Saccharomyces cerevisiae S288C: one gene and its partners. The gene in region 3 interacts genetically with the main gene of each other region. Each region holds a gene or a part of one and is shown on either strand. Other genes may lie near its edges.

What was found.
Region 1: mutations in SNF4 (region 3) and SEI1 together harm fitness more than expected from each alone (negative genetic interaction), as found in Saccharomyces cerevisiae (3 studies listed by BioGRID).
Region 2: mutations in SNF4 (region 3) and YDR124W together harm fitness more than expected from each alone (negative genetic interaction), as found in Saccharomyces cerevisiae (2 studies listed by BioGRID).
Region 4: mutations in SNF4 (region 3) and CQD1 together harm fitness more than expected from each alone (negative genetic interaction), as found in Saccharomyces cerevisiae (2 studies listed by BioGRID).

Annotation. Positions count from the first base shown.
Region 1 is NC_001144.5:924,805-932,613, reverse strand, and holds SEI1 (seipin), read right to left. Parts: upstream 3,872-7,809; coding exon 3,014-3,871; downstream 1-3,013. Other genes in the region: YLR406C-A (uncharacterized protein), read left to right, coding at 259-408; 60S ribosomal protein eL31 RPL31B, read left to right, coding at 859-915, 1,265-1,549; DUS4 (tRNA dihydrouridine synthase), read right to left, coding at 1,722-2,825; zinc-coordinating transcription factor SFP1, read right to left, coding at 4,995-7,046. UniProt on the Saccharomyces cerevisiae protein: Involved in lipid metabolism and lipid droplet (LD) morphology, number, and size. Facilitates initiation of LD formation, and ensures that vectorial budding of LDs from the ER is directed towards the cytoplasm.
Region 2 is NC_001136.10:697,132-704,857, reverse strand, and holds YDR124W (uncharacterized protein), read right to left. Parts: upstream 4,544-7,726; coding exon 3,569-4,543; downstream 1-3,568. Other genes in the region: ARO1 (pentafunctional protein ARO1p), read right to left, coding at 1-374; palmitoyltransferase SWF1, read right to left, coding at 614-1,624; ECM18 (alpha/beta hydrolase family protein), read left to right, coding at 2,100-3,461; INO2 (Ino2p), read left to right, coding at 5,390-6,304; serine/threonine protein kinase KIN1, read right to left, coding at 6,964-7,726.
Region 3 is NC_001139.9:290,306-298,146, forward strand, and holds SNF4 (AMP-activated serine/threonine-protein kinase regulatory subunit SNF4), read left to right. Parts: upstream 1-1,727; coding exon 1,728-2,696; downstream 2,697-7,841. Other genes in the region: ubiquitin-protein transferase activating protein CDC20, read left to right, coding at 1-1,336; YGL114W (uncharacterized protein), read left to right, coding at 3,155-5,332; SLD3 (Sld3p), read left to right, coding at 5,627-7,633. UniProt on the Saccharomyces cerevisiae protein: Adenine nucleotides-binding subunit gamma of AMP-activated protein kinase (AMPK), an energy sensor protein kinase that plays a key role in regulating cellular energy metabolism.
Region 4 is NC_001148.4:341,259-350,140, forward strand, and holds CQD1 (Cqd1p), read right to left. Parts: upstream 6,132-8,882; coding exon 4,339-6,131; intron 4,187-4,338; coding exon 4,006-4,186; downstream 1-4,005. Other genes in the region: GDE1 (glycerophosphocholine phosphodiesterase), read right to left, coding at 1-3,481; YPL108W (uncharacterized protein), read left to right, coding at 7,188-7,694; DPC25 (Dpc25p), read left to right, coding at 7,861-8,607.

The DNA of each region.
Region 1 (7,809 bases), on a different chromosome or scaffold from region 3:
ATTACACACGGGTAGCAAGCAAACATGGTGTGGGGAAGGTGAGGGTAAAGAAGAAATCTACCAAGATCATGGTGCTGCACGTTTGCTGAGCCAAACAAAACCACTGTTGTCGGTAGAATTATCGAATTATCGATAATCTTCCATAAAGACTTTTTTACTAAGAGAGACTTCGTATCTCTTTTTCTTTTGATTCGGAATAAAACCCCGTTAGTACCATATAGGACGTTTACTTAAAGCCTTGCGCCATATCGCCGCCAGATGATACAAAAACCGATTTTATTATCCTCGTTTCTGTTTCTCTACATCCGTGCATTATTACATAGTATACATCCGTACATCCGTACATCCGTACATCTGTACACAAAAAAAATCACCTCATACAATTTTTTAGGAGTGCCGTTTAAATGAAGCGCAGCCAGATGCGACAAAAACTTAAAGGCGCGGCTCAGCCTAGATTACGTTCTTTTTCAGGTGATGGTGCCATTTCCGCCCTTCTCGTTAGAGCCGGAACGCAGATGAGCTGCCCTCTGGCGCCCGCGCTCCTCGCCTGGTAAGTTCACTACTAGGCTGGAAGTTGTATGGTGTCCTCTGGGATTGCAAGGGCACGCTAGTTGGATGTGCTCACAATTGGATTGGCACTTCAAATGCCAACTGGAAGGGCGCGAAACCGAGGGTAATGCGACAGAGGGCACTGACGTTGTTTCGTAACCTTGTAAGCTCTTTCTGATGGTAGTGCTTCATGTACATGTTTACTCTATTATTTGACCAGTCTCATTGTTGATAGGTTCCTTAGTTTTACATAGTCTTGGGTCTTAGTATATTTCAATTGCACGAGCAGATAATCCAAAGTACTTGAAAATGGCCGGTTTAAAAGACGTTGTCACTCGTGAATACACCATCAACTTGCACAAAAGAGTATGTCGAAATTAGCGTTGTCTTTACGTGGGAAATTATTGAAAGCCAACAAGCGATATTGTGGTGAAATACCAAGCGAAATCTATACGGGTGAAATTTCATTTTCCAATGATTGACCCCAGGTTTTAATTCGGAATATTAGAGGTTATTATATGGAATGCGTGATGCAAGGACTGGAAGGTTCTTCTTCGGTACTGCATTTCTCTGTGTTCTGCGATCGATATCCGTACCTCACGTTTACACTATAATGGCGCTTGGGCCGATGTTTTTGGCGTGATGCTTTAGTTCCACCTTCTTATAACAACTTTTTTTTTACTAACAGACCAATCTTGAATTGATATTAATATAGCTACATGGTGTCAGTTTCAAAAAGAGAGCTCCAAGAGCTGTGAAGGAAATCAAGAAATTCGCCAAATTACACATGGGTACTGAAGATGTCCGTCTAGCCCCAGAATTGAACCAAGCTATCTGGAAAAGAGGTGTTAAGGGTGTTGAATACAGATTGAGATTGAGAATCTCCAGAAAGAGAAACGAAGAAGAAGATGCCAAGAACCCATTGTTTTCCTACGTCGAACCAGTTTTGGTTGCCTCTGCTAAGGGTCTACAAACCGTTGTCGTTGAAGAAGATGCTTAAATTGTAAAAAAAAAAAAATAATGTCCATCTTATAAGCATTTTATTTCTTTTAGGTTATATTATTACACAAACAGAGCTGCTTTCGGGGTACGAGTATACGCTCTTGAATGATAGGAAAATATATACAATTTCAGTACCACAGTTTATTAGATTTTTGTAATTCAAAATTTATTCATTCTTGTCTCTCAACCACTGAGGCGCTCCTCTGCACACAGCTATTAGCTTTATAAGGAATTTCAACGCCCATGCCAAATCCATCCTCGCCGTAACGCTTGAACTCAAAGGTTTTATTAAACCAGTCGATCAGACTAATGTAATTTTTAAGATTCATCATTTTCTTTAACAGAGATTTCTTCAACTCCATATTTTCAAGCATACAGTACAGATGGTGCTGAGCCAATTGAAAAGGCAAGCCACCAAACTCTAGAGCCCAATAACAAAACTTCTCAATGCAGCCCCAAGGGCAGGTAGTATATCCAGCAAATAACGCTGGATTGCTTAACAACCCACGCACAGCCATGACACCATGTGCACCAGTGTATTTGGTGATTCTTTCCAAATCGGATAACTTAAAACAATCCCCATTCGCTATTACAGGCACATTTTTGTCGCTGATGTTCTCGATGATATATTTTATCGCATCCAGGTTAGCCGGCTGCGATGACCTAGTTCTACGTGTTCGGCCATGAATCGTAATCCAATCTACCCCAGCATCACATAGCTTTCTACATAACTCCACCGTCTCGTCCAATGCCTCATGTATTCTTATTTTCGTTTCAATTCTTAGTTTGTCGCCATACTTATCTTTCACAGCATGGACCATACTGCATAACAAATCTGAATTGTATATCAGAGCGCAACCTATGCCCTCTCGGATTTGTTCCTTTATAGGACAACCACAGTTAATACCAATACCATCACAGTATGGGGCAACCATTTCCACAAATTTTAGTAAATCAGCCACGTTATTTACACCTACTTGGACGATTAGCGGGGTGTCCTCATTATTTGTAGAAAGGTCTGAGATTCTTGCATGCTCATTACGGACATATTCTCTTGCCAAAATCATGGGGGAGTAAACTATATCAACGTTATATTCTCGGCACAACTGACGGAATGGTAACTTGGAATACCGAACCATTGGGCCTGCAATGGTCACGGGCCGACCATGTGTCTTTTGCCTCGTCTTTATTATATGCAGTGGATCTGTTTCTTCAGTAATAAGCTTCGGCTTCGGTATCAGAACATCACCGGATGGAATATGCATTGTGTGCATTTTCTTTAGAATCTTTATTCTGCATATGAATTATAACTTTGAAGAATCCATCTCTTATTTTCATTTTGAGTTTTTTCGCTGATCATCTTTTTTTTATTCAGGGCGAAGAAGCAGAATGCTGGAAGAGCCTACTTACTTAGAAAATAACAGCTAGGTTTTAAAATTATATAGCGAGAAGTACAATTCTATCAGCTATGTTTCTTGGATTTTTCCTGACCCTTTCTAACAAAAATGAATGCAGTGCAACCTGTGATAAAAAAAAGTACACATATTATGCAATGGAAAATTGAAATGCCAATAATATAAGATAAAAATCTTTTTCGAAGCATCAAGTTTCTTAATCCCTGCTCAAAATTCATCCTAAACTTAATCCCACTTTCTGGATGTATTATTAGATTTCTTTGGGCAATCTCCGTTTTCAAGAACACCGAGATTGTTTCATATGAAGACTCTAACGATATTTTGTCCTCTATTCTTATTGTATTTAGCCATTCTTCATCGTAAACGTCTAGACGTGATGGGCCTAGTTGTTCGATCTCCTGAGGCGACATGGAATCCGTCAGTGCGAGGCAGACAATAGGTCTAGAAGTGTGAAAGATTTTTTCATCTTTGCTGTTACTTCCTCCAGGAGCACCCAATAGCGGGCCTGGACCTCTGTAAACATCAATTAACAAATTGTCTAAATTTAAATGGTCAGTTTTGCTCTGGCAATAAAGCTGTAGGTTTAGATCGAGCTTGTATTCCATGTTGTCACGCATGGGGATTAACTGTGATAAGCCATTGTCTATTGTTTGCGGCAGATCTGTACCTACCGGAATGCTTTTAATAGATTGGAAGAATTTTGTACCAAATTGTACGCCATTTAAAATGTTGAACGTATTAAGGGGGACTACGTTAGAGGAATCGGCAGGTAATAGTCTTAGGTAAAAATCGTGATATATTAAGATCGATAAAGGAAGAATGATTAGCAATTGTATCAGAAATGCAACAACAATATATGAACTCCATTGTAAAAACTGTAATGGACGGGATACATTGATTTTCATCCTTCCTATTCACTTTATCTTATTTTCTTGAAACCTTGGATTCACATTTTGATAATTTGCCGTAAGCTGTCTCTATTTTTCTGTCTTACGCGCATTTATATTTTTAATAACCTTACGTTGAGATTTTCAAATTATACACATAGTAGCAACTAATGATGAGGTAGTTATACTTAACTTTCAAAAGAGCGACTCTAGTATTAGATGAACAATTAGGTTGCTTTATATGGATGACGAAAAGTCTTATTTACAAAATAACTCTCAATAAATGTTTCTTGACCATATGGCTTGGTGTTGTCAACTTTCTAGATAATACTTATCAGCGTGATTGGATTGTAGGTTTGGGAGGAAGGTTGCTTTTTAAGTTACTTATAGTATATTATTATTGATATTGAATTAATTTACTTTCATAAGTGTATAAAATAAAAGTTCAACATTACTAACAAAACTATAATATTTTCTCAACCAATTATTAACCTGTGATAGTTGCGCTGTAATTCCAGTCTAATTAATATGCTTCGTAAGATTAATTGTAATATTTAAGTAATCTTTTAATGGTTCAATAAGATAGTTTCTGCCTAGAAAAACGATCCGACAACGTGCATGGTAATTCACTTACAAATACACAGAATTGCAGATAAAAAACGGAACCTTTTATTTAAGATTTAGAGCATGAATAAGAAGAATTAAAGTTTCTTTTCTTAGAATAAAAATAGTTTTTAATACATCAGAACAGAAGGAAGTAAGTAAAGCCAAAATATATATAGTAAAAACACAGTAGTAAAAAATGAATAGTAAAAAACACACAACAATAATACTAAAAGGAGAGACCAGACAGAGCGCAAATCGTTTTCATGACGGAGTATTTAGAGGAAATGATGACAAAACAAGAAAATGTTATTCTATTATAAGTTCATTTTTCAATAATAGATATGCTTTTTATTTTTTGAAATTAATGGTAACAGTCGAAGAGCACAGCTTTATCATGCATTTTCGTTCAAAGATGATCACATAAATTGCGCCCAACAACAAGAGAAAGAGCGGCCGCTCGATGCATGAGTCGGTAACGGTAGAATTAGTATCTAAATAGCATACTAAATCAATTCAGTAAAGAAACAATTATATCTTAGTGAGTGGAGTGGCCCCTGTGATATTTTAAACCGTTCAAGTTCTTATATCTCTTACCACAAACTTCACAACGGTATGGTTTATCCTTTGCAGAGCCCATTCCATCACCAAAAGAATCTGTCGAATCTGGATCTATTACGCTAAATGTACCGTCAGGGTTTTCATGTAATTTTTGATTCTGATGTCCGTGCAACCTATGGTACTTCAAACCGTTTTGGTTTTTATAAGTCTTTTCACAACCAATAACTGGACACTTAAAGGGTTTTTGTTCCTCATGATCCATTACATAGAGCCTTCTCGCAGGATCGTCTATATAAGCTTGCTGAGGCATCTTGTAATTGTTGTTATGAACTGATTTTCCATTGGAACTGGAGCCATTTTCTGTGTCATCGTCATCGTCATCGTCATCGTCATCATCAACATCATCGTCATCATCAATGTCATCAATGTCTTGATCCTCGACCATGTTTTGAGAAGATTTTGCGTGTACGGAAGAATGAAAAGTATTGTAGTTGTGAGAACCTGTAGTTGGATTTACGACAGAGTTCATGGAATTGTGGTTACTAGGGCCCAAAATATCATCATCCATAAAACTTAAATCTATATCTTGGACAAGTACCAGAGGTGATAAATCGGTTTGATGAGGATCAATTTTTCTTGATTGATGTTGAATAGGATTCCTGGACGTTTTGTTCAAGGAATAGTTATTAAAAGTATGTGGACGATTCACCATGGCGTTTTTACTACCCATGTTAATATTAGAATTGTGTGAGGTATTATTATTGATATTGATACCACTATTATTGTTACTGTTAATTTGTTTATTGTGCGGAACGTGTCTTGATGGAGAATTGCTCGTTCTTAAAAACACATCATTCGTTGAAACGGCATCGACTAGATTACCATTCAGATGTAGTTGTTGAGAGTGATTAGCCATAGATAAGCCCGAGTTGGGGGCACCCGTTATAGATATCACATTTGGATTTGCAGTTGTGGACGACGCAGTTGCTGAACCCATTACACTCGGTGTGGGTACAGCCCCTGATGTATGATTTACAGAATTCGATTGCAACTGTTGTTGTATTATATTCTGCTGATGGTGAGGATGCTGAGATTGTCGTATTGTGGAGTTGGAATCCATGTTGCTCTGAAGATTGGCATGCATATTATTAATGGAGGTGTTATTAGTTGCATTGCTGCTATGAGCCTGCATAGTATTAGTCTTATGACCTGCATTTTTTGTATTAGCGGCCATGTTATTCTGCAGGTTATAGTTGGCAGAAGAGGTATTATTTGTCATACGAACTGATGAACTAGTGTTACCAGCAGAGTTCATCGGTATTTGTGACATATTGGTAGTGTTAGGAGACGTGGATATATGAGCTTCTTCGTAATGTCTCAGCAAATCATGCAAACCTGGTAAGGAAAGACCACAGCATGAATAATCTTTACAATATTGCTTTTCTAGATTTGGCAGATAAGCAGTGTAGGCTATCTGAGGAGAAATAGAATACCCTCTATGGTAAGGCGGATTACTAACAGAGGGTCTCTTAGTTGGTTGTTGAATCTGCAAAGTATTAGTGGCAGTAGTGGTTGCAGAAGCGGCAGCGGAGGCAGCACCGTTTGCTGATGCAGGTACAATACTATTTCTACGGCTAATAATTTCATCTCTTAACCAAGAACCAACACTAATGGATCCCCATGAAACACCACCCATCCCTTGAGAATGGGCTATTGATTCTCTCCGTAACTTGGCAATGTCCTGTGGAGTTAGTAGCGTTTGGTCCATTATATTTGGAGAGTACAAATGAACATTATTTGTATTATTCATGATATTTTTTTGGTGAATATTATTGACGCCGTTAAAATCTGTGTTTTTTCCATTAGAAGAATCCGAATTGTTATTTATCAAAATGGAAGGAGTATTCTGGTTCGAATCAATATCAATATTAAAGTTTGATGACGAATTTATAGATGCATGTGCCGATGTAGCCGTCGTAGTAGTACTAGTAGCCATATTGCTTGCCATAGTCATTGTTGTAAAATCCATACTCAGATAAGCTTTTCCTGTTTCGAAGAAAAATAAAAATACTGAATATGAATATGTCTTTTAATAACAATAAATTTGAAAACGCCTTACAAGTGAAATCTTGAGGTGATTAATAGTAGGTGAATCCAGAGAAAGTGTTTCGAGGATATAATATGGTATCAGAAAGCCAAAAGACGACCGGTATATTATAAACTTAGTATGAATGTATCGTGGCGCTTTTTTCTCCTAGCTTTATTCTTCTTGCTTTCTCGCTCTAAATATGATATTGCGATAAAAGGAAGTAGTTTAACTCACCGTAAAATCGATCAATATTAGAAAAACAGAAAACCACCAGAGAGAAGCACCGATATGTAATTGAAGTAGAAAAAAAATCTAGCTTTCCTTCTCTTTATAAGCGAACTTAATGATTAGATTGACTAGCGCTATCCTTCTTTGATTGTAATATTTGTCAAACCTTGTTAACGGAGCCACTAGAATGTACAAGACGTTATATAGGGATGACAGGTAGAAAAGAGATAGGGCCTGGGAGGTAAAATGCGTACGTTAGCCTAGAGAGCTTTAAATCGGTGACGATGCGAAAGCAAATGATAATGGCAATAGCGGTGGCAGGCGACAGTGGCAAGTGACAATGGCTGATAGTGACGTTATTTGATACAAAATCGCCTTTTAACGAATGCATCGCCCATTTGTTCCAAATTTCAATTGATTCGAAATTGCTCCTTATTATGTAACTGACAAAATCCTGTCCCCTTGCACGACGTAG
Region 2 (7,726 bases), on a different chromosome or scaffold from region 3:
CTCATAAATGTAGATGCAACGAACCCAATCATGTCACCAATAACACCACCACCGATCGCTACCATAACCGTATCACGAGTACATCCTTCCACTAAAAGATAATCTTCTAGCTGCGCTTTGGTTTCTCTACTTTTACTTGTCTCACCTGGTTTAACAACATAAGTAAGTAAACGAGAGCCTTCTGGCAAAGAAGCCTTGAATTCCAGGACTAATTGCTGGTAGTATGGAACTTTACTCAAGTTCGTATCATTGCAAATAACGTATGTCGAAGAAGGACAATGTTTAATTATGGTTTCAACCAAATGGTCATGAATGTTATACCCAACGTGGATAATATCATTTCCTAGAATTGGGACTTTGGCTAACTGCACCATCGTAATATACAATTATCTTACGTAGGGATTTCTCAACTAGGAGATTATATAAACTTGAACGACCGAGTATAGCTGTGATCTGTTACTAATGGTTACGAGTCGGCGTCCTACCTTCTATATTAATAAACCGCTTGTATAATGAATTTGTTCGACATTTGCGGTTAGAATCTATGGCGGTGAGAAAAAACCGAGTGAAAAAAAATTTCATGTTCGGGATGAGTCATATGCATGACAATTTACTATATTAAATCTGTGAGATTGGCCAGGAAGGTACCTTTGTCATATATATTGGGAATTTCGGACGCGTCTTTAATCGTGATGTAGTGTGTAAGGTTGTAGTGCTTATGGTCGTAGGCATTCGTGCTATAAAACGTAACATGTTGATCTTGGAGTGGTTCAGCAGCGTCATCTTTTTGTTCTGTGCATTTGAAAAACCAAGATGGGCAATCATCATCCAATGATCTCACCAGTTTTCCTTCTCTCATATACTCTTGAATGGTATACCATTTATCTTGCTCATTTGTAGTCATTCCCTCCTTTACAATGGCCAATTGAAGATACGTGAAAATAGCGCAGATGATAGTGAAGCATCCACATAATATGGTAAGAGTCAGAACAGCTCTAGGGAGCGTACTTGTGCTATTTAAAGAAATGTACCACAGCCTTAGAAAGGCGTAGCACATCGAGAATATGTTGGAAATTAGGAAAAGGTAGAATTGAAGGTAGTTTCCCTTTCCGATGCAGTTATTTATCCAGATGCAATGATGGTCGGCGACGAGAACGCATCGGTTGCAAATGCTACAATGTTTGGATCTAGCAGGCTTGACGATCCGGCATGTCGAACACTTTATGGCAGGATAATACAATAGGTAATCATATGGATATTCCTCTGTCGAGCCTGATTTATGATCCTTTGAATCCTCAGCTCTGCTTACCATGGCTAGAATTCCTAATGCTACCGGCGGTAGTATAATTATAGGCACGATCAGTATTCGTTCTAAAAGGAATAGCTCATTCTTAATCGTAGACTCCACTCTCATGTGGTATGTATATACTAGGTACAGGTAAATAGAGGTGTAGAAAAGAGGTACTAAATGCAACTTCCAACGATATTTTTGGTCATCCACTAGGAAGGGCTGAAACACATTACGATAGAAAGTCGAAAATGGCCATGTTGACTTGAAGACGGGCGAAAGTAATATCAAAACTACGAATCCTATTAGCAGCACAAATAGTAGATTCCATGACATTGTTTGTTCTTTTCATGTTAGGAGACAAAGATATCTTCTTTGGAGGCATAATGAAGTTTTTTTTAGGAAGGCGGAAGTATATATACAATGACACTACCTTTGTTGATAGCTACGAATTTCCTAAAGAGAAAGTATATTGTAGTATTTATATGAGTTGCATAGTACGTTATTCAAGGATAAAATGCCGAATAAATGCTTTAGATGATTTAAAATTCTGTATCGGATGGTTTTAATTAAAAAGTTTCGTTGGAGGTTTTCACCTCATTTTTGAAAAATAAAAATTCAGACCAAAACATTAATTATTTTGGCTTTGAATATACTGACCTCCTGGAAAGCCCTTGGACATTACTAAAATTGAGACAACTGTTTCGATTCCAGCTTAGAACTCCACAGAGCTTCACATGTTTTACACCTCTATTTATATATTCTGACAGTTTCCTTATGCCTTTCCAGTTTAAGGATGAGCGAATGAAAAATGCTTTTAATAAAGAGGTACTTGATGGACCCTGAAAGTTTAAGGAGGCAGATAATGAATGTATATAAATGTTACATGTGGAAGAGAGCGTTCCACAGTAATAGAAGCCTACTGGAAGTTAAACGTCGTGAAAAGAGTCTCCAGAGAAAAATTTTGGAAAGGATTCTTAGACCCAAGGAGGAAAATGCTGTCAAAAAATCTGGATTCAAGCTATGGTCAAGCCATTTGAATAACCCACACAAAACTTATATGCGGCTGGAGGAATTACAGAGACGTATTATGGAAGAGGTACACGTTGAAGGTATTAAAAAGAATGATAAGTTATTCAACGAAATAAATCAATGGCATTTCCAAAATGAAAACACAAGTACTGTTCGAACACCAACATTGCTGATACATGGCTATGCCGCATCTTCAATGTCTTTTTTCAGAAATTATCCAGGTCTGTCCAAGCACATCCGAAATTTATACTCAATTGACATGCCAGCGAGCGGATTGTCTTCAGTACCGTCTTTAGAGATCAATACAACAACACCTCTGCCGTTAGATATCAAATTTATTGGAGAAAATAAATTTAAGGTTCCATATACAATAAATGCAAATCACAATAAATTTGTGATTCAAATGTACGAAGATTTCTATCTCGACAGAATCGAGCAATGGCGCATTGATAACAAATTGGGCAAAATGAATGTTGTGGGGCATTCTTTTGGCGGATATTTATCTTTTAAATATGCTGTTAAATATCCAAACTCGGTAAACAAACTTTGCTTGGTATCCCCACTAGGAGTGGAAAGGAATATCTGGTCTGTAAATAATAATTTCCACTCCAACACTCTTTATACTATCGATTTTAAAAATCCAAATTCCAAGTTTTACTCCAAAAGAAATATGATTCCAAAATACTTATTTGAACAACAATTTCACATTTTGAGAATGATGGGACCATTAGGAGCTAAGTTATGTTGGAATTACATAATGGCGGCATATAGCCGAGTCCCATCGTTGGCATACAAAGAGTACATATTTGAACTGTTTTACGGTAAGGGAGGTATACCGGAGGTTACGACAGATATTTTCAAAGCGTTATTTTCAAGATGTATCCTAGCAAAGGACCCCTTGATGGATTCTCTGCAATATTTAAATGTTAAGAAATTATTGATAGTATATGGGCAATATGATTGGATGAATAAAAAAGCCGGTATGTTCATGGTCAAAGAGTTGAACAATTTAAAGAACTGTCTAGAAGGAGCAAGTTATTTAGAAATACCTTCTTCCGGTCACAATCTTTTTTTAGATAACCCAGAATCATTCAACCAATCTATAGTGTCCTTCTTATCAGACGAAACTAAATCGCCTTGATAGCAACCAAATCAAGTAGCAAAGAGCCAAAAAATGTGTTAATGTATGCTATCCCCCTTTTTGCTTTTGCGCTCCTCACACCTCTTTTCTTTGCTTTGAAATTTTTCTCAAATAAAATCTTTACAATCATCGCTACTAGTTAATTCATCCAATTTAGTGAGGAATAACGGATCAAATTCCACTAAATTTTCTAATCGAGATATGCTATTCGAATAATCCTCCGATACAGGGTCTTTCGGATATTCCCTGGGGAAATACTCTGTGTCACTTTCTTTTGAAGGAAGGATCATCGAGGGTGAAGAATCGCTTCCACTTGACTGTTGTAACAAATCTTTTTCTACCTTAACCATTTTATTTACATCAAATCGACGACTATGGTATGATTTTTTCTGTTTTTGGGCTAGGTCATTTAAATCATCAAGTGATATGGTCTTCTGCTTGAAATCTTTGTTGCACAAGCATTTCGCAATTTCGAAAACATTTTTCATGATTACTTTCTTCACAGTTTCTTTCTTAAAAATGGTCATTGCGGCGGTCACTCCTGTAAGCTCGTCCAAAATCTCAAGGCTGAAGGGAGATTGCGGTAGAACATTCATAATTATCGTGCACATCAATTTCAGTCGATCCGCTTTCTGGAGGTGGTCCGGCTCTTTATGTTCTACATCTTTTGGCCACCATTCCGGCCTTCCAGCATTGCCTTTAATGTATGGAAACCTGGTTTTCTTCCTTGGCTCAATAATTTTTATCCACAACTTAGCAATCGCCTTGCATGGGACCTGTCTTAATAATTTAAAAGCCGTATACAGATAATTCTGTATTAGTAGGGGTTGATCTAAGGGTAGCATGATCGCTGGTTGGATATTTTCTTCATAAACAGTTATTCTTTTCCTATTTACCAATGGATCGAACGTGAGTGGAGGGTTTTTTTCAATTGAAGATGATATAAAACTCTCTGAGAACAAGTTTTTTGGAATTGACTCACTTATTAAATGGTCTTTTTCCTTTATGAACACCATAAACTCATATCCTTGACCATTTAGCAGCGCCAGCGCCCTTCTAAGCTCTTCCATACCTATACGCATGTACTTAAGCTGACTCTATCGAAAAATGACGTACGCACAAATGCACATGTATACATACGCAATCCATCCTTTATATAAGCTGAGAAACAAGCAGAGGAACCTGCTTCAGTTGGGCCATCCCTTCGATGCTATATACTTCTAATCTTAAACTCTTCACTAAGACTTCGCAGGCACCGCTTCAAGGATGTCTCAGGTCGCGAGATTACTACAACAACTTAAAACAACCCTGATGCAACTGCAGCGTGCTGTTTTTCAACAGTACAAGAAAAAGTTCCATATTGTGCCATTGCCGATGCCATTGCAAAGGAATTTGTTCTCAGTCGCATCTCTCCTTTACTGCAGATCTGAGTTACTTTGAATCCTTGATAATATGGATCGAGTGCCTCTTCCATTATTTCTATTATTATAATCTCAACGCTTAATATGAATTAACCAACCACACTCAAACCAAATCTACGCCAGCTACAAATGGTAGGAGAATGAAGACACACCAGGACTCAAACAGGATTTCCCAACAATGTCTTTCAACATGCTGCTTGCCGGTCACTACTGCACTTCCTGCGCCTTTTCCGTTGAATCACCCTCCATAGTGCGGCAGATGGAACCAACCTAACCTTTTTTCAGCAGGAGGTAAAAAATTCGCCGGTTTTCTATCTCCCTCCGTCATCGGCAGGGCGTTGACACCTGTCCAAGTACAACACACATGTGAATTTTTTTCAGTGATTAAAGGCTCATCTCATCATATCTTATTGTAATCAGTATTTGGCGTCATAAGCAATTCGAAATTGGTTCGGTTCCATCTCGTTGACGTGCAATAAATAAATACATGGAACAGCAAAGGAGAAAATGCAACAAGCAACTGGGAACGAATTACTGGGTATCCTAGATCTGGATAACGATATAGACTTTGAAACTGCTTACCAAATGCTCAGCAGTAACTTCGACGACCAAATGTCTGCGCACATACATGAAAACACGTTTAGTGCAACTTCCCCTCCTCTGTTAACACACGAGCTCGGCATAATTCCTAACGTAGCAACCGTGCAACCCTCTCACGTAGAAACTATACCTGCCGATAACCAAACTCATCATGCTCCTTTGCATACTCATGCACACTATCTAAATCACAACCCTCATCAACCAAGCATGGGTTTTGATCAAGCGCTTGGTCTCAAGTTGTCTCCTTCCAGTTCGGGGTTGTTGAGCACGAATGAATCGAATGCCATTGAACAGTTTTTAGACAATCTAATATCACAGGATATGATGTCTTCCAACGCTTCCATGAACTCCGAATCACATCTACATATAAGATCACCAAAAAAGCAGCATAGGTATACCGAATTAAATCAAAGATATCCTGAAACACATCCACACAGTAACACAGGGGAGTTACCCACAAACACAGCAGATGTGCCAACTGAGTTCACCACGAGGGAAGGACCTCATCAGCCTATCGGCAATGACCACTACAACCCGCCACCGTTTTCAGTACCTGAGATACGAATCCCAGACTCTGATATTCCAGCCAATATCGAGGACGACCCTGTGAAGGTACGGAAATGGAAACACGTTCAAATGGAGAAGATACGAAGAATAAACACCAAAGAAGCCTTTGAAAGGCTCATTAAATCAGTAAGGACCCCACCGAAGGAAAACGGGAAAAGAATTCCCAAGCATATTCTTTTAACTTGTGTAATGAACGATATCAAGTCCATTAGAAGCGCAAATGAAGCACTACAGCACATACTGGATGATTCCTGAGCTCATACAAGCTATTAGTGATGAAAATGGCCTCCCGTTGGATGTATTTTTAGTTAATTTCGTATACATGGGCGAAAATATCATATGATTGCAAAGCTGGTCATGTAAATATATTCATTATAAACCAGACGGTAGAAAATCTCGTTTCTTTCCAGAGTGTAGCGTAGATTTTTGCGGACAAGAATTACCAGTATCTTCATTTTATTTAGAAGTTAAGAGAATCCGGAGGCAATGATGGTGAAGTAAAGAAATCTTTCAACGGCGAAGTATAATCTGTCTTCACAAACAGAATAACTGCGTACAAACTCGCAGTTATATGACCGTTACGAGTTGTATTGATTCAGTGAAGTAATAGTCCTATTACATCCATATGAATCCTGTCCTGGTAAACGGTGCAATGATCGCTCTACGTATACAAATTCTCTCCATCAATCGATGATGAACTGCTTTACACATAAAGTACGTGCCATTTATTTATAAATAATACCAATTAAGGGACGAAAATATTAACTGCTGAGTGTCTGCTTAGGTCCATTCTATTTCTTCTTTCCAAAAGAGAATAAAAAGAATCTATATATATATATAAATTTCTATCGAACGGATATTCTTGTTTTCGAATATCAAAAATGTAAGCTGTGGTTTCTCAGGGAACGTGTTACTTACAACTTTAGTTCTTTTAATATACTAGAAGCCAGCTCTTTATACAACCAAGTGTTCCCAGAAATTTTCTTAAAATGCACACCGGCTAAACCAACAATACGAACCTTGACGATATGAATTTCGAATTTGATGGGCTCTTTTTCTGTTGTAGTCATGCCTTCGCTACCGTCACCTTGTTGGTGGATGTTCTCCAAAGATGTTCCCGAATGCTTATCATCTCCATAGGTTTCGGTAATAGATGTTTTTCTCTGGTGAATGGAATTAGTTGTCAAAGGAGAAGAAGGTGAGTATTTATTAGAGCCTTGACGTCTAATGGATTCGTGGTGCGAAAGTGGCATGATCGATCTTGGAGTCCCTTCTCTCTTCGCTGCCACATTATTGGAAGAGAACCTTTGCATACAAACAAAACCACCCTTAACCTCCTTGAACTCTATATTCATTTTCCTCAGAACAAACATAATCTTGTATCTAACAATTGGCAAAGGCTTCGATGAAGTTGTCTGAACAGAAAAGAAACCCTTCAAAAATAAAGAACGGGGGAAATCGATGGATGGCATAGAACCGGCTGGAGCTCTAGAAGCTTCCTGCAATATCTCTTCATCTGTTAATTCCTTCTCCACAGATGGCGAGTTTATGTGTGCGTTCACAGAATGCACGCTGACGCTATCATTCGTCTGTGAAGTAACATTTCCCAAACTATCGGATTTGTTATCGTCACTTGATTCTAAGAACCCAGTATCTATAAGCTCTTGCTGAGGATAG
Region 3 (7,841 bases):
ATTACCTCCGCCAAACGCGTCGCCAATTTCACACTTAAGGGCCCAGACTAAGATTGTCTTCAAACAAAATGTAGCTGAAGCGTGTGGGTTAGATATGAATAAAAGAATACTACAATACATGCCGGAACCACCAAAATGCTCTTCCTTGAGACAAAAAAGCTATATCATGAAGAAAAGAACACATTATAGTTATCAGCAGGAACAAAAAATTCCTGATTTAATTAAATTAAGGAAAATCAATACCAATCCGGAAAGAATTCTTGATGCACCTGGTTTCCAAGACGACTTTTATTTAAACTTGTTAAGTTGGTCCAAAAAAAATGTCTTAGCTATAGCACTAGACACTGCATTATATCTGTGGAATGCCACCACTGGGGATGTTTCCCTGTTAACGGATTTCGAAAACACCACAATATGCAGCGTTACGTGGTCTGATGATGATTGTCATATCTCTATCGGTAAAGAGGATGGGAACACCGAAATTTGGGACGTTGAGACCATGTCATTAATTAGAACTATGAGATCAGGCTTAGGTGTCCGTATCGGTTCATTGTCTTGGTTAGATACTTTGATAGCTACAGGCAGTCGTAGTGGAGAAATTCAAATCAATGATGTCAGGATCAAACAGCATATTGTATCTACATGGGCAGAGCACACAGGCGAAGTCTGCGGTTTGAGCTATAAAAGTGACGGATTGCAACTTGCATCTGGTGGTAATGATAACACTGTAATGATTTGGGATACCAGAACGTCCTTGCCTCAATTTTCCAAGAAGACGCATACTGCTGCTGTAAAAGCACTAAGCTGGTGTCCATATTCGCCAAATATTCTAGCCTCTGGAGGCGGACAAACAGATAAACACATCCATTTTTGGAACAGTATCACAGGTGCACGAGTTGGCTCAATCAATACCGGATCCCAGGTGAGCTCTTTACATTGGGGCCAAAGTCATACGTCAACCAATGGTGGTATGATGAATAAAGAGATTGTTGCCACAGGAGGTAATCCAGAGAATGCAATCTCTGTTTATAATTATGAAACAAAATTCAAAGTTGCAGAAGTAGTTCATGCTCATGAAGCAAGAATATGCTGTTCTCAATTGTCCCCTGACGGAACCACATTGGCCACAGTGGGAGGAGATGAAAACTTAAAATTTTATAAGATATTTGATCCAAGATGTACAGGAAGATCGAGAGAAGACGGATTGATGGATGGTATGCTAGGACTTATTGGCAAGGAAGGTTGTCGAACAAATGATAAGGAGAATCGTTCCAAAAATTCGAGTGAGATTCATACAAGGAGGCCCTCTAGTACCAGCCAATATTTGATCAGGTGATAAAATAAAAAAAATAAAAGTTCATGTCAAGGCATATAATGAAATTTCCATACACGCATACATAATGTATAAACATAAATGTATTCAAGAAGCTTAAGAAATAAAAGTAATGAACCTTGAGAATACATCAAGATATAACTCATCACATGTTAAAGAACCCACACACCACACGCGCGAGAACTGGGAGGGAGAGAAATTTAGCAAATAACAAAATTTAGGCCTTGGAAGAAACCATAGCAATGCAATAATCGTTATTAACATAATATCTACATTGAGAACTTCTTGGGCTAGTGGTTTTGCTGCAAACTGGAAAATTGTATCAATCTTTTAACGTTAGCTAAACATCTTCTGCTGTGTTAGCATTAGGAGGAAGCGAAAAGGAAAATACATAATGAAACCGACACAGGATTCACAAGAAAAGGTTTCTATTGAACAGCAGTTAGCTGTAGAATCGATAAGGAAGTTTTTGAACTCGAAAACATCTTATGACGTGTTGCCTGTTTCTTACCGTTTAATTGTCTTGGACACCTCGTTGTTAGTGAAGAAATCACTGAATGTTCTTTTGCAAAATAGCATTGTCTCTGCGCCATTATGGGACTCCAAGACTTCCAGGTTCGCTGGACTTCTAACTACTACAGATTTTATTAATGTCATCCAGTATTACTTCTCCAATCCAGATAAGTTCGAATTAGTAGACAAATTACAGTTAGATGGATTAAAAGATATAGAGCGTGCTCTCGGTGTTGATCAACTAGATACAGCTTCAATTCATCCTTCTAGACCCTTATTTGAGGCGTGTCTTAAGATGTTAGAATCAAGAAGTGGTAGAATACCACTGATCGATCAAGATGAAGAGACACATAGAGAAATTGTCGTTAGTGTTCTTACGCAATATAGAATTCTGAAGTTCGTTGCTTTAAATTGCAGGGAAACACATTTTCTAAAGATTCCAATTGGGGACTTGAACATTATTACGCAAGATAACATGAAAAGCTGTCAAATGACCACTCCGGTCATAGACGTCATTCAGATGCTTACCCAAGGTCGGGTTTCTTCCGTCCCTATTATTGACGAAAACGGCTACTTAATCAACGTATATGAAGCATACGATGTCCTAGGCTTGATAAAAGGAGGCATCTACAACGACCTGTCATTGAGCGTCGGAGAAGCCCTTATGAGGAGAAGTGATGATTTTGAGGGTGTTTATACATGCACTAAGAATGATAAATTATCTACTATTATGGATAACATCAGAAAAGCAAGGGTGCATAGATTCTTTGTAGTTGATGACGTCGGACGGTTGGTTGGTGTCTTGACGTTAAGCGATATTCTCAAATATATCCTTCTAGGTAGCAACTGAAACGAGCCGATGAGATTTTTGTGTACATACTATAAATAAATGCAACTAATAAAGTCATGATTAATCAGTCATGCATACTTCATCTGACCAATATATTTTCATCTTGCTTATTTTGGGTATAATTCGGCGGAAATTCGGTTATAAAGCGAAGTGAAAAATCGATTAGTAATGATACTGATGCGATCTCTGGGAGGGGGGAATGCTGCATATAAGGGTGAAGGAAGATAATGCAAAGCCTTTTGTAGTATTGTCTGTTGATACCAAAATAAATTAGTTCATCAAAAAGGTACAGGCAGCTAAAGAAAAGCTGTAAATTTAACGCCGTAGAAGGTATTTTTCGTGAGATCTATCTCAAGGCATCATTTTTTTTATTTTCGCACCAAGATAGGAAGAAAAAGAGTCACAGTATAGAGGACTAACCGTTAAAGATTCTAAATCGGTACTGTAAATACTTTGAAATGCCTCAATCTACTCCAAGTCAAGAAGTACAGCGTGTACCATGGGATAATAAACCTGCTTTGAAGCAGATAACACTCCGAGCAACCATAGCAGGTATCGCTATAGGGTCTCTGGTGCTAACATCAAATTTTCAATTTGGCCTGCAAACCGGTTGGGTTTCCATGATGTCCCTGCCATCGGCATTGTTAGCTTGTGCTTTCTTTAAAAATATCTGGCCATTAATATTTCCGAACGACAGGCCTTTCAGTGACGTTGAAAATGTATACGTACAAAGTATGGCAGTAGCTGTCGGAACAGGCCCATTAGCCTTTGGGTTTGTCGGCGTCATACCTGCCATCGAGAAGTTCCTTACTAACGACGAAAGTGGTGGATTAAGGGAACAAGGACAGTCCTTCACTTTTAGAGAATTGTTAATATGGTCCACAGCCCTAGCATTCTTCGGTATTTTTTTTGCAGTTCCTCTAAGAAAGCAAGTAATTGTTAGAGAGAAACTTCCCTTCCCCAGTGGTAGCGCCACGGCCACTTTAATTTCAGTGCTAAATGGAACTGAGATTTTACAAGAGGTTTCTAAGTCAGAGTTATTGGAAATGAGGCAGAGGAGATTGAATGAATGCCCTGAAGTGCTACAACCCAACAGAGATCCAGAGGAGGCGGATTATTTAATGAACTCTTCTCATAGCGAACTTGGTGATTATACGGCAACTAGCCAAGATGGAAGTTCTATCCTTTCTACTGGCTCTGAGAACTACAGAGCGAATATTATTATTTTATTGAAAACTTTTGTTGTTTCTTCGCTTTACACCATGGTGTCATATTTTGTACCGGTAATACGGTCTATTCCAGTCTTCGGAAAATACCTCTCGAACAATTATCTCTGGAATTTTCAGCCGTCGCCTGCGTATATAGGCCAAGGGATAATAATGGGTCTTCCAACAGTATCGTATATGCTTATCGGGTGCTTCTTAGGCTGGGGTGTGTTAGCACCATTGGCGAGATACAAAAGATGGGTACCACCAGATGCTGATGTCCACGACTGGGAGGAGGGAGTGCAAGGATGGATTCTTTGGTCGTCGCTTTCAATAATGGTTGCTGACAGTGTAGTCGCTTTTATTGTTGTGACAGTGAAGTCCATTGTGAAATTTATTCTTATAGATGACAAAGCTGCTTTACTGAACAACATAATCGATGATACATTTCAATCTATGTTACTGGAGGAGGAACGCGCCATTAATAGCAGCAGAAGAAATACATATGTTGATGGAAGGCAGGACACCGTAAGATTAGTGAGTAGAGATAACGAAATAGAAGTAGATTCGAAGCATTTGGTTCGCTATACCACCGTTATCAGTGGATGTCTAGTCTCCTCGATAATATGCATTGTTTCCATAATATATTTGTTTGGGATACAAGTAATTCCCCTATATGCTATTATCACTGCTTTGATACTTGCGTTGTTTCTATCTATTCTCGGTATTCGAGCACTTGGAGAGACCGATCTGAATCCTGTGAGCGGCATTGGTAAGATCTCTCAATTGATTTTTGCCTTTATCATACCAAGGGATAGACCTGGATCAGTGTTAATGAACGTGGTATCGGGAGGTATTGCAGAAGCCTCTGCCCAACAGGCGGGCGATTTAATGCAGGATTTGAAAACGGGGCACCTCCTCGGCGCCTCCCCAAGAGCTCAGTTCTGTGCCCAATTGATAGGGGCCTGTTGGTCAATTATTTTGTCTAGCTTCATGTATTTGTGCTACAATAAAGTTTATTCAATTCCGAGTGAGCAATTCAGGATACCGACAGCAGTAGTGTGGATAGATTGTGCAAGACTAGTAACTGGTAAAGGGCTCCCTGATAAGGCCTTGGAGTGCTCCATGATTCTCGGAGTCATATTTGCCGTTTTATCATTAATCAGAAACACTTATAGAGATTACGGATACGGGTGGATATTATATATTCCGTCTGGTGTAGCAGTCGGTGTTGGTATATTTAATTCTCCCAGTTTTACAATTGCAAGATTCATCGGCGGGTGGGCTTCGCATTTTTGGTTGAAGAATCATAGGGGTGACTTAAATGCGAAAACAAAAATGATTGTATTCAGTTCGGGGTTGGTCTTAGGTGAAGGTATCTTTAGCGTAATAAACATGCTCTTCATCTGCTTAAATGTCCCTCACTATTAGGTATATAATATTTTACTAATAAAGAATTTACAAAGTTTACAAATTTTAAATTATTTACTCATCACATAATTCGATGTCTTAGATTTCCCTGTATATATATTTCTAGGTGACAAAAATCCTAGGCAAAATGTTATATTATACGCGACCTTGAAATATCGGCTATCTTGGTGTACAACATGGTCCATTTAAGAAAAATAAAAAAAAGTGATGGGCACTGTTAAAACAGGCAGAAGCCTCATTCATAACTGCTGAAGGGTTAAGATCGTATAGGTAGGAACGATCTGACCTCTCATAATGGAAACATGGGAAGTCATAGCATCGGTAAAAGAAGCAACAAAAGGCCTTGACTTGAGCTTAGATCATCCACTTATTATTAAATCCGAGGACGTGCCCAGTAACATTCTCCAATTACTGCAACAGAAGAATCGACGTCAATTGAAACACATCTGCATGAAATCAAGAAAAGAGTATTTTCTACTAGAGGAATATGGGCCAGGATTTTGGGTTAAGTGGCCGTACAATTATTTCAATGGTTACAGCTTACCAGAAAGGCGTACGGAAGTTGTAACGACAGTTGAAAGAGAAAGAGCTAAGCGTGAAACGTTAAAAACATGGGACGAATTGAAATTTAAAGAGCTTCTTCATTTATGGTCAGAAGAACCCAAGGGCTCGTGTAAGCTTGAGAAGGACAAAGACCTTAAACTGGATATGAATCCCCCAGATATGAAAGGCGAATCAAAAATTAATGACTACTATTCAGACCCTAAAGAGTACATAGAAAGTAAGTATTATGATGCTCTTTTTTCCATACATACGCCTCTCGCATATTTCGTCAAGTCAAATTTAGTAAGGCTCAAAAATACCTGCCGAACCAAGTACGGAAGTGACAGTTACAAAATAGCCTATCAAGCCATGCTGCAAAAATTTCTTCTCTCAATTGTACAATTCAAAGATAGACATGATAACAGGCTTTTATTAGAGCCCTTTTCTAGTCCCATAGCAGATGAAAAAAGGAAGAACTGTCTCACAAAATTTGTTATCCAAGATGAAAACAAAAACAGCTCAACCATTGCTGATTTATGTGTTGTATTAAAATCCCGCGAAATAAAGCTACAAATATTATTGCTATTAGAGATAATAGGATTGAACGATTTAGATTGGAATTTTAGAGATTTTGAGAAAAAGTATAAATTAAAATTGAAGAAAAGATCACTTAATTTGACAAAAAAGGGATTAGTTCGTCGAAGATCGAAGAAAAAAACCAGCGAAAAAGACAAAGGAATCGAGAGAATAACAACATCTTTGGATTATTGTGAACAGTTAGACTTGTACTTAGATAGAGCATGCATCTTGGACATTCTACTATCAAGTGAAACGCCCAACCCAGATGCCATAGAAGCATCAAATGGAACAATACAAGAGCATAAAAAAAATATCCTAGACAAAAGCAAAGAAGCCTCATTGGTTGGGTTCATAAATTATGTTCTTATTCCATATTTCAACAAAAAGGTACCACACGCCGTTGAATTTATAATTCAAAAGCTCAAGGGACCAAGCATGAGACCAAAGAGAGCCCTGAAAAAGGTCAACGATAGCACAAATGTATCGTCACCTAATACTGTAGAAACGTATAACAGGTTATCCACGAGTCAACGTGCCTCTCGCTCTTCAATCATTAATTCCGTCCCATCTTCACCCGCATTGAGAAGGGTGGACGCTAATTTGTTCAGCAGAAAATCTATAGCTTCGCCCACCCCTGAACTTTTGAATTCTAGAACGAACTCTAACTTGAATGAATTTCTCGAAAGTGAAACTAGAAGCTTAAAGCGCCCTTCACAATTGGGAAGGACGAAGTCTGATCTAACGATGAATCATTTACAAAAACGGCAGTTTTCTGTCTCTGACTTAAGCACAACAAGAGTACCGAATTCATCAACTATCACACTCAAAACGCCTTTCTCGCACTCAACTATTAATGCATACAAAACTATGAATAACTCTTTTCGCAGAGTTGGGAAACGTAAAGATATCAATGAAACGATACGCCTACATGAACGTGTAGACTCTGAGGAAAACGTACAAGTTCAAGCCACTCCTGCTGTGAAAAAAAGAACTGTGACACCTAATAAAAAGGCGCAACTTCAAAGCATCATTGAATCGCCGCTAAATTTCAAGGATGATGATACGCATGAAGGCAGAAAAAATACCTCCAATATTACCTCTACTCCCACTAATAAGCCCCCGGAAAATAGCTCAAAAAGGAGAGTAAGAAGACGTTTATTTGCTCCAGAATCCACATAGAATAAGAAACTGCGAGACCACCTTCGCTGGCAAGTAGTTGACCCAACTCCATCTTTGTAGCTTTTCTTGGACGAAAAGGGAATAAAATAAAACTAAGCTACAACAATTTCGCACTTCGGGGGCCTTTGAGTATACAATTAAATAACTCATCATGCATATATATATATATACATACAATGGCGTATGTAAAAACTGTTATATAACATTA
Region 4 (8,882 bases), on a different chromosome or scaffold from region 3:
CAGCAGATACAATCCCCAATAAATTCCACTTCTTAGCAAATCTTATACCGTTTTGTAACGATGAGGCTCTCAAATCGGCCATCTGTTCACTTCCACCTTCCGTCAGGAACAAGATCGGAATAACCGGTTGCTTTAACGAAAGCATGATGCAAATATCCGGATGAAATGACGAAAAAATGATGTCCCTACCATTCGCATTGTCAAAAACTACTTTTAACACGGTGTCAACCCAATGGTTCATTTCCATCATTATTTGCCCTAACTCTTCCTCTTCTGCCTCATCAAGCATGGGAAACTTACATTCTATGTTAAACCCAACGTTGGCAGGGATTTTCTTGAATAGTTCTTTCAAGGTAACAAATGATGAAGCTATTGAATGTCCTCTAGCGTTTCCCTTAAAATTGTTCTTTTTAAATGTTTTGGTTAGCCTCATTCGATTGTCAGACCAATGAGCATTGTTGGACTTCCCATTCGGGTCGTTGTCGTGTAAATCCCAAGCTCTCCTCAATGTACTAACGTCTGAATCATCTACCGAACGCCCTCTATATTTTTGTAGTGCTGTATCTGCTCCATTTACATGATGAGGTGAGTGACCTGCTCCACGTTGAATGTGCTCTTTATCGGCATTGTTCAAATCTAAAAACTGTTCCAGCGTCAATTCATGCATGGGGATATCGACACCTGTTTCAGCTACGAGAAAATCGTGATATACCACTGGTACGTTATCCTTCGTCAACTGAACATCAAACTCTACATACGATGCTCCCAATGAGGCTGCCATGATGAAAGACTCGACTGTGTTCTCTCCAATTTGTAATGATTTATTAGGATTATTTTTACCCAGGCCTCTATGTCCTATAACACGAGTGGACACTAAGGATTTCCAGTACGTTTCTGTTCTTTCTAAGGGCAGTTGTGGATGTTCAAATGGTGTGATAATAATATATTCAAATTTCAGCGTCCCAAGTATCTCCAGTGTATGATTAGCGATGATGGGGACCGTCACGCTACCATTTAATATACTTCTATTAACTCCCACTGAGCTGTACGACTTATTCAACATGGAAACACCCCTTGCCATTACGTAATTATTGTTATTTTTTTGACAATCTATTCTATTATGGGTCTCCAACGAGCGTGTTCCATATGTTGGCACAATATCAAAATATAATGTATGAGAATAATCAACTTTGAAAGGCACTTTGAAGTCTACTGCGTCCACATTATCATCTAATGGTAAATCTAAGATTACAGAAGATTTATCAATTGAATCATTGCATGAAATTACTAACGATAATGCACAATCTGTTTCCAACCCAATAACTTTTGCTAGTGCTTCCGAGCTTAATGAAATTGAAGGGCTTTTGTTTCTTGTGTCATTACTTCCCAATGTTATTAGTATAAGTGATTCATTATTATCCAGGAATCTGTGTCCATATGACTTTATTGGTCCGGCCAGTTTTCCCAAGGACCCTTTATTACCTCCGTTTCCATTTTCATTTCTCTCATTTAATTCTCCGGCACTAATTTCGTTTAGTGGTTCTTTCTCTTCGCTACCACTGTTCAACTGTGAATGGGGATGCGTGACCAGTTCGTCTCTGATTTGAACCATATCAGCAATGTGCAAATGACCGCGCAATACCGCGTGCTCCATCGGCGTCCACCCACCTTCATCTTCAATATCAAAGTTCGCGTTGTTGGCTATCAAGAGCTTTACAATGTCCGTAAACCCTTCTGCTGCTGCAACGAAGATAGCTGTCCAGCCAAAAAGTTTTTCTCTTATTTCAAGGTCGGCTCCATTGTACAACAAACACACAGCAGCTTCGAAAAAATTTAATCTACAAGCAAGATATAGCGGTGTTTCATGTAATTCGTTGTCTTGATAATTAATATCAAACCTTTTTGATGATAGGAGAACATGTAAAAGGGGATAGTTATTCCACTCAGTGGCCAAATGTAACAAACTTGAACTTTTTAATTTCACGTTCGGATCCAAAGATTGCAATAAGACTTCTGTTGTTTTGGGATGAGCACCCAACACACATAAATGTAAAGGTGTCAATGATTCGGCATCTCCGAACGCGGAAACGTCATCAATAGGGATTTCATTCCAGATATTCCATTCTTTCATTAACTTGATAATCAACTTCGTAACTTCAGATAAGCCATACTGGCAAGAATAATGCAAGGGCGTTCTCTTGTAATTATCATGCTGAAAAAGGCATGGTCTTAAATGAATTGGTAACTCCTCTAAAATATAAGAGAGTGTACAGGCCGAACTTTTTTCCTCCTCTGTAATGCTATCTGATTCTGCCGGGGCAGATAGGGTCGTATGCAGGGTTCTTAAATCTGTTACAATTTCTCCCTCACTATTAGTATATTTTGAGGGTTGTGACTTCTTTTTCCTACTTAAAATTTCCTGTTTTCTGATTAACTTCCCGATTGCAATTATGTGATGATGGAAAAAATTTCTTCTGTTAATATCTTCCGAGTCATTTAGAGACGGAATAACCTTTAAGATAGCATCAATACATGCCAGTGATTTAGACAGTGCTGCCTTGTTTAAAACACTTATCATAATTCTTGTTGGAATCAAAGACAATTCCGAATATAGGTTTGTTAGCTCTCTAATCAATCCTTTGCTATCATCTTCTTCTATAAAAACGCAAATAATCTTAAAGAATTCTGTATTATCATTAGCATTTGCGTTCGGCGAGGTACTCCTCATTACTCTCTCGTAAGAATTTATCCTGAACGTCACTTGTTCCCAGATAGTTTTTAGCAAACTCAAATCTTTGGTAATAAGAGAATCATTAGCAAATTGTAACGGCAAGATTCTAGTTTTCATAGTTGACATTTGCTGATTTGTGCCGACTTTTTTATCCAGTTTCTTTAAAATCTTACCAAAAGCTCTCTTATTTAGTTCAGCGTACCACTTTAAGTTTCTAAATTGTTTTCTTAACTCAGCTAAGATAGACTGAATTTCAATTAAGTCATCTTTATGGTAAGATAGACGGCTGGCTTGACTTGTTCCCTTTAAAAGCATATTCATCTCTCTCGTATCCTTTGTGAGTAAGGTTTGCGCTACTGCATCTTCTTTGTTGGCATCGACCACTAATGTTGATTTTATCTCATTGAATTGATTAGAAGAAAGCAATCTCTCAAATCTTTTCTTATATTCCGCATACTGGGAATTGTAAAATGTATCAACCTTCTCAATATCCCTGTCAACTGCAAAGAAAAACGACGCCAATAACTTTTGGATTTTTGGAGAGTCCAAATAATTTTGAGCACTATTAGATGAATCTCTCATTTTTGTTGGTGGCCTGCCTTCATCATAGCTATTCTTGTTATGTGCCCTATATATGTCTTCTTGAAGTCTTGTAATTTCTTTAATCATTTTCTTCAACGACTTGTAGCCAACATATTGACTTGACCACTCTGGAATGCGATGATTGGCAAAGGTTTTTCCGAACTTCATTGATTATATTGTTTGATTATATAAAGACCTTACAGTTTCAGTAGTTTGTCACCTTAGTTGGAGATAGTGGCTATTTTTGTGTAATTTGATGAGGGTTCCCTTCTTAGTTGGGTTTAAATTTTTTGCTACCGTTGCCTTATTGTTCAATGAAGCACTAATTGCAAAACTTAAACTCTTTAATAGTCTCACTTTGTAAGACAATAATTTATTTTTTACTTCTGTCAGCCAACGCTCTCTTTTTAATATAATGTGCACGTTCTAAAAATAATTCTCTTATTCAGTTGGCGCTATTAAGTGAATTAGAAACGTTTTGACGAAATTTACTATTAAAAGAACACTACGAGTCGATAATGACAGCACTGGTCTAAATTTCAGCTAGAGCAACAGCAAATTATTATTTGTCACTTAAATAAACTTGGTCGTTTTTTTGGAGAGCTAATATGTTGGGACAGCGTGTGTAACATTGCTCCACCTGCGAACACGTGGAAGTCGCAATTATAAAAGATGCATAAAAAGAAAGAATATTAATAATTAGGACACAATTGATCAGTCCTGACAAGATCGTATATTTGCTTCATCGAGAGATGCATTAATTGACGCACTTCTAAACCAACCCATATCTTGAGCATTGATAATGTGCTTGCATCTTTCAAGAGACTTTTGGCTTCCCGCTTAAACCCGAATTCACGTAATATAGGCAGCGAACTGTTTACGAAGAGAAGTTACAAGATGTGGGTATTTTTGTTAGTAAAAGAATTTCTTTAGTAGCAATAAAAAGCAAAAAAAAGCAATAGAAAAGGGTTTTAAAAAATTGATGTTATTCTTTAAAACCGTTAATCCATGCGTAAAATACGAACCTTTCAAATAAGTCCAAGTTTGGATCTAACTGGCGTCCAATACCCTCTAGAAGTAAAATAGCGACCACCACGGAAACAAAGTCGGACTCCATTCTAACATGGTGCGACCTTACCATACTAAGCATTTGATCGAGTAAATCGCCAATTGAGACGGTTCCCAATGTAAATGTTCTTTGTTTAACTTTATCCACTAGCTTTTCTACCTTAAACGCAAATACTTCCTTATCAATAGCTGTTTCTGGAGTTCTTGATCTCTCAATCATCAACTCACCAGCTCTATAACCATCAAATCGGGCCAATGCGTTGAATAGAGCTATGAAATTAATTCTGTTTTTTTCATTCAATTCTGTAATTATTCCTGTATCGATAAAACAAATTTGGGGAGTGTAATTAGTTAATACAGACTTCAGTTTTCCAACAAAGTCCTGATCTTGGTCCTCCTCTATCTTCTTCCTCAGGTCGTGCGTTATTCTGTACGATTCAAGTTCGGAGGATATAATGTTTGTGCCGTATTTGTTCGTCTTCACAAATCTGATTATAACATTGCCTGGATGCAAATCAGCATGAACAAAATCATCAAGAATTAGCATTTGTAGAAACGCGTCAACGAAGGGATCACTGACTTTTTTACAAAGTTCAACGTCGTTAATTTGCTTCTTCGTAGATAAAAACTTTTCCATGGAAAGACCATATACATGCTCTTCGAACATAACATCCCTATTTGACAAGGGGAGAAATGGTTTAGGAAATTTCACCTGAATAGAATTTTTAAAGTTCTCATTGAATCTTTCCAGGTTTAACGCCTCAATTCTTAGATCCAACTGAATATTCATTAATATGGAAAACTGATCGACTTCGCTGGGTAAAGACAGCCATTCCATAGTCGGAATCCAATTTATTGCGTCAGCACAGAATTTCATTATTTTCAAATCTCTCCGGATCTGAGATCTTACATTTGGATGCAAGATCTTGATGGCACACCAACGATTTCCATCCTTACCAATTTGTATATTGTCATATTTATCGATGTACTTTTGGGATAGTTCACCCACGTAAACTTGTGCGATGGACCCAACTCCAATTGGTGTTCGATTAAATTCATCAAAAGCATCTTCGATCTTGTCAACCTTTAATGCTTGAGAAAGTTTTTCCAGAGTAAAGCTTAGAGAGTGAGCTGTAACGTTACTATGCAATTTACCCAACTCATGACACAGTGCGTGAGAGAATATATCGGTTCTCGATCCTGCCCATTGTCCGAGTTTAATGAAACTCGGGCCAGCCAATTCCAATGCTTTACGCAGTAGTTGACACCAAATCAATGAACCTCGAGTTTCAGTTATATTGGTGTCCGTAATTTTGAGTTTATGACCAAACCATGATATGGGGTATAATAGGAGAAGAGGTAAAAAAATAGCTGAAATTTCTAAAAACCTTAAAATCGTGCATACAGGCTCAACAATATTATCATTAAAACCGAACCAAAAGATTCTTAGATATCTTATTAATTTATTTCGTGATTCAGTGATCTTAGCAGACCTGAAAGATTTAAGCTTTTCCTGCAATTCGTTTTCTGAGGAAACGTAGAGGCCCATTTCAAAAGTATCACCTTTGGGATCCGGTTTTAGAGAATCATTGTATATCAAACAATTTTGTTTTGGAAACGAATTTTGTGTCAAATAAAAAGCAATTGACGTAGGTATTATGAACTGTCTTATAGGTATTTTATGAAAATGCCGTGTGGACTTGCTATAGTATCGCCAAGAGTTTCTATAAGCGAACTTTAAAAATGACATTGCCCAGATGGTTCTGATGTTCTTTATCTCTATTCTGTGAGGGTTTGATATTGATGAGTAGGTAGAAGATATGGTATAAGGTATTTTCTATAACATCAAACATCTTTTCTTTTTCATCAAATGAGTGAAAAGGTATTATTGCCCCTCATATATTCGGGGTTATTTATTTTTCGTTGCTTGAAGTAAAGCCTTTAATACACACTTAGTATTTAAACACTTAAGATTTACGAATCACAGATTCTAAATTTGTATTTAATAAATTGATTCTAAGTACAGGAAGTATCAAGGGGGGGGGTTGACAGATAGAATCACACCTTGATTAATTTAGTTCCTGATGAACAAGCCAACTTGACCAATCAAACCCTTTCGCGGCACTTTTTCTCTTAGCTCTGCTTGATACATCGACTGGGAACTTCTTCTCTTTGAGCCAACTAACCTCAATCCCTTAAAGATTTTGTAAACCGCAGAAACACCTGGTTGTTTTCGCTTGTTGGCAAAGGTTAATAACACAGTAACTTTCAATCTTGTTCCGAAGTGCAGAGTGCAGTTCCCTGTGTGTTCAAGTGACATACGGCATTTGAATACACTACACTTATCGTCATGTCAAAACAAGTGTTATAGAAGCAGCGTTAATATAATATTAGTACCTGTACAGTTTTAAACTCAATTGAGTGCAAAGATCTGATGCATCCCATTTTAGTTTCTCATAAATTATTGCTTTGGTTCATAGTTCAATTGTAAGCATTATTAAAACAACTGCTTCTATTTAGACAATACAAGAACGCGATCTTTCCAGTAACTGCCTAATCTGAAATTATGTTTTTCAGTTGCGCCTGTGGCCTACACAACTTGCATAATAAGCAGTTAAAAATAACTCCTAATCTTACTAATCTTGTCGAACTAGACTAGCTGTAATGATCTGTCATATATAAGTTAATATTCAACATCGACTGTAATTGTCAATTCAATCTTGACAGCAACGATTGAAGTCATCGCCTCGCCGTAATTGAAAAAAAAATGTAAGATGAATAACAGCTAAGAAAGATAATAATTTTTATGAAAGAAGCATCTGATAGAGAAGAAGCACCAAAAATGGTGGAAAAAAACTATAGTACAGGTTTTAGGAAAGCCCACGGAGAGAAGGATCAATCAGTGACTAAGCCAATCTCGTTAGATGGTAGAACAGGTGAAGTAATTGTTAGAAAATCCACCGGGAAAACTAAAATACGTAAAGGTCAAACGGAAGAAGAGTATACACAGCAATTGCAGCACTACTTCGAAGTAGAACAAGGCCCTGTGCGGACAAAGGTAGGATGGATGGATGAGGTAGATCCCTTGGTTGAGATCCGGGAAGGCAAGTACGATATCTCCAATAAGCATCAGCGACAGGTGCTTAGTGGTTTCTGCCATCGTTTATTTTACCAATGTAAGTACAAGGAGTGTCTGGATCTCAGCACCTATTTTCTGGGGCTCTTTGAACCGTTCAACGTGAAGAATAAAATGAAGAGGGAGCTTGAAGAGTTGGAATATATGATCGAGCGATGTCGTGGGCATGTATTATAAGCCCGAATCAGATACTCAAATTTGAAAAAAGATATCTTTCTCCTCCGACATGGCCGAACTCATTTACATAAATAGCATAAATTAAACAGAATAATAATACGTAAATTACAACAGTCAGAGGGTGCATGAAACCGTCATTAGATAGAGACGTGATCAAAAGTAGAAAATGATAAGAAATCAGGGATGGTCATTACTTTACAGAATTTATCCGGTGCGGAGGTTCACAAGATACTCCAGAGTAGATATGACTTTTGAAGGAAACACTCAAGATATCTCTACTTCTGTCGAAGAAAGAATGACCACTGTTTTTGGAGGACGCTTAAAGGGTGAACCACCAAGATCCACAAGTAGAGTGCTTAGCGGCGGAACGAAGAAAATAGCAGGTGTCCAAGTGCCTGCAAAACCACAAGAACCCGATAACTGTTGCATGTCAGGTTGCGTTAACTGTGTCTGGGAGATATATAGCGAGGATTTAAGAGACTGGAAACATAGAAGGAAAGAGGCTGCGGAAAAGATCGCAGGAACTAAGGAGAAGTGGCCTAAAGACTGGAATCCACCTTTGGGATTGTTACATATGGAAAATGTCCCTGTTGAGTTACGTGAAAAGAAGCTGGAAACCGATAGCAAAAAAGCAGAACAACCTCATGATTTATCTGCTATCAGAAGTTTGTTCCCTAAAAGAAAAGGGCCTCTGCCCAAGAGTGTATTGGCAGCCAAGAGGAAAAATATTGCTTTGAGACACAATTACGAACAGAAAGATGGAGGAGACCAATCAGTCAGTGAATCAGATGCTGATGAAGGCTGGGAAGATATTCCTGTCTACGTTAAAGCCTTTGCAGAGTTTGAATCAAAGAAAAGATTACAAAAAATTCGCCGACAGGAAGAAATAAAAAAGAGGACAGCTTTGGTTTGAAGCAAATATATATTATTGAAAAGCCTATGTACAATATTTGCGGTCTTCTTTGATCTTGGTAGACTTTATGGATGGAGAATAATAAACATACATATATTTCACTTAGAGGGTTTAGGAGACTAATGCGTGAATACGCGCTGGCATGTCCCCATTCATGCATACATATATTCGTAAACATACACATATTCATAAAAATTTTCAGTTATATTATATTATAATCTTTTTTTAACTATACAGAGAAGATATTAAAAAAAATGTATCCAAAGTGAGTTAAA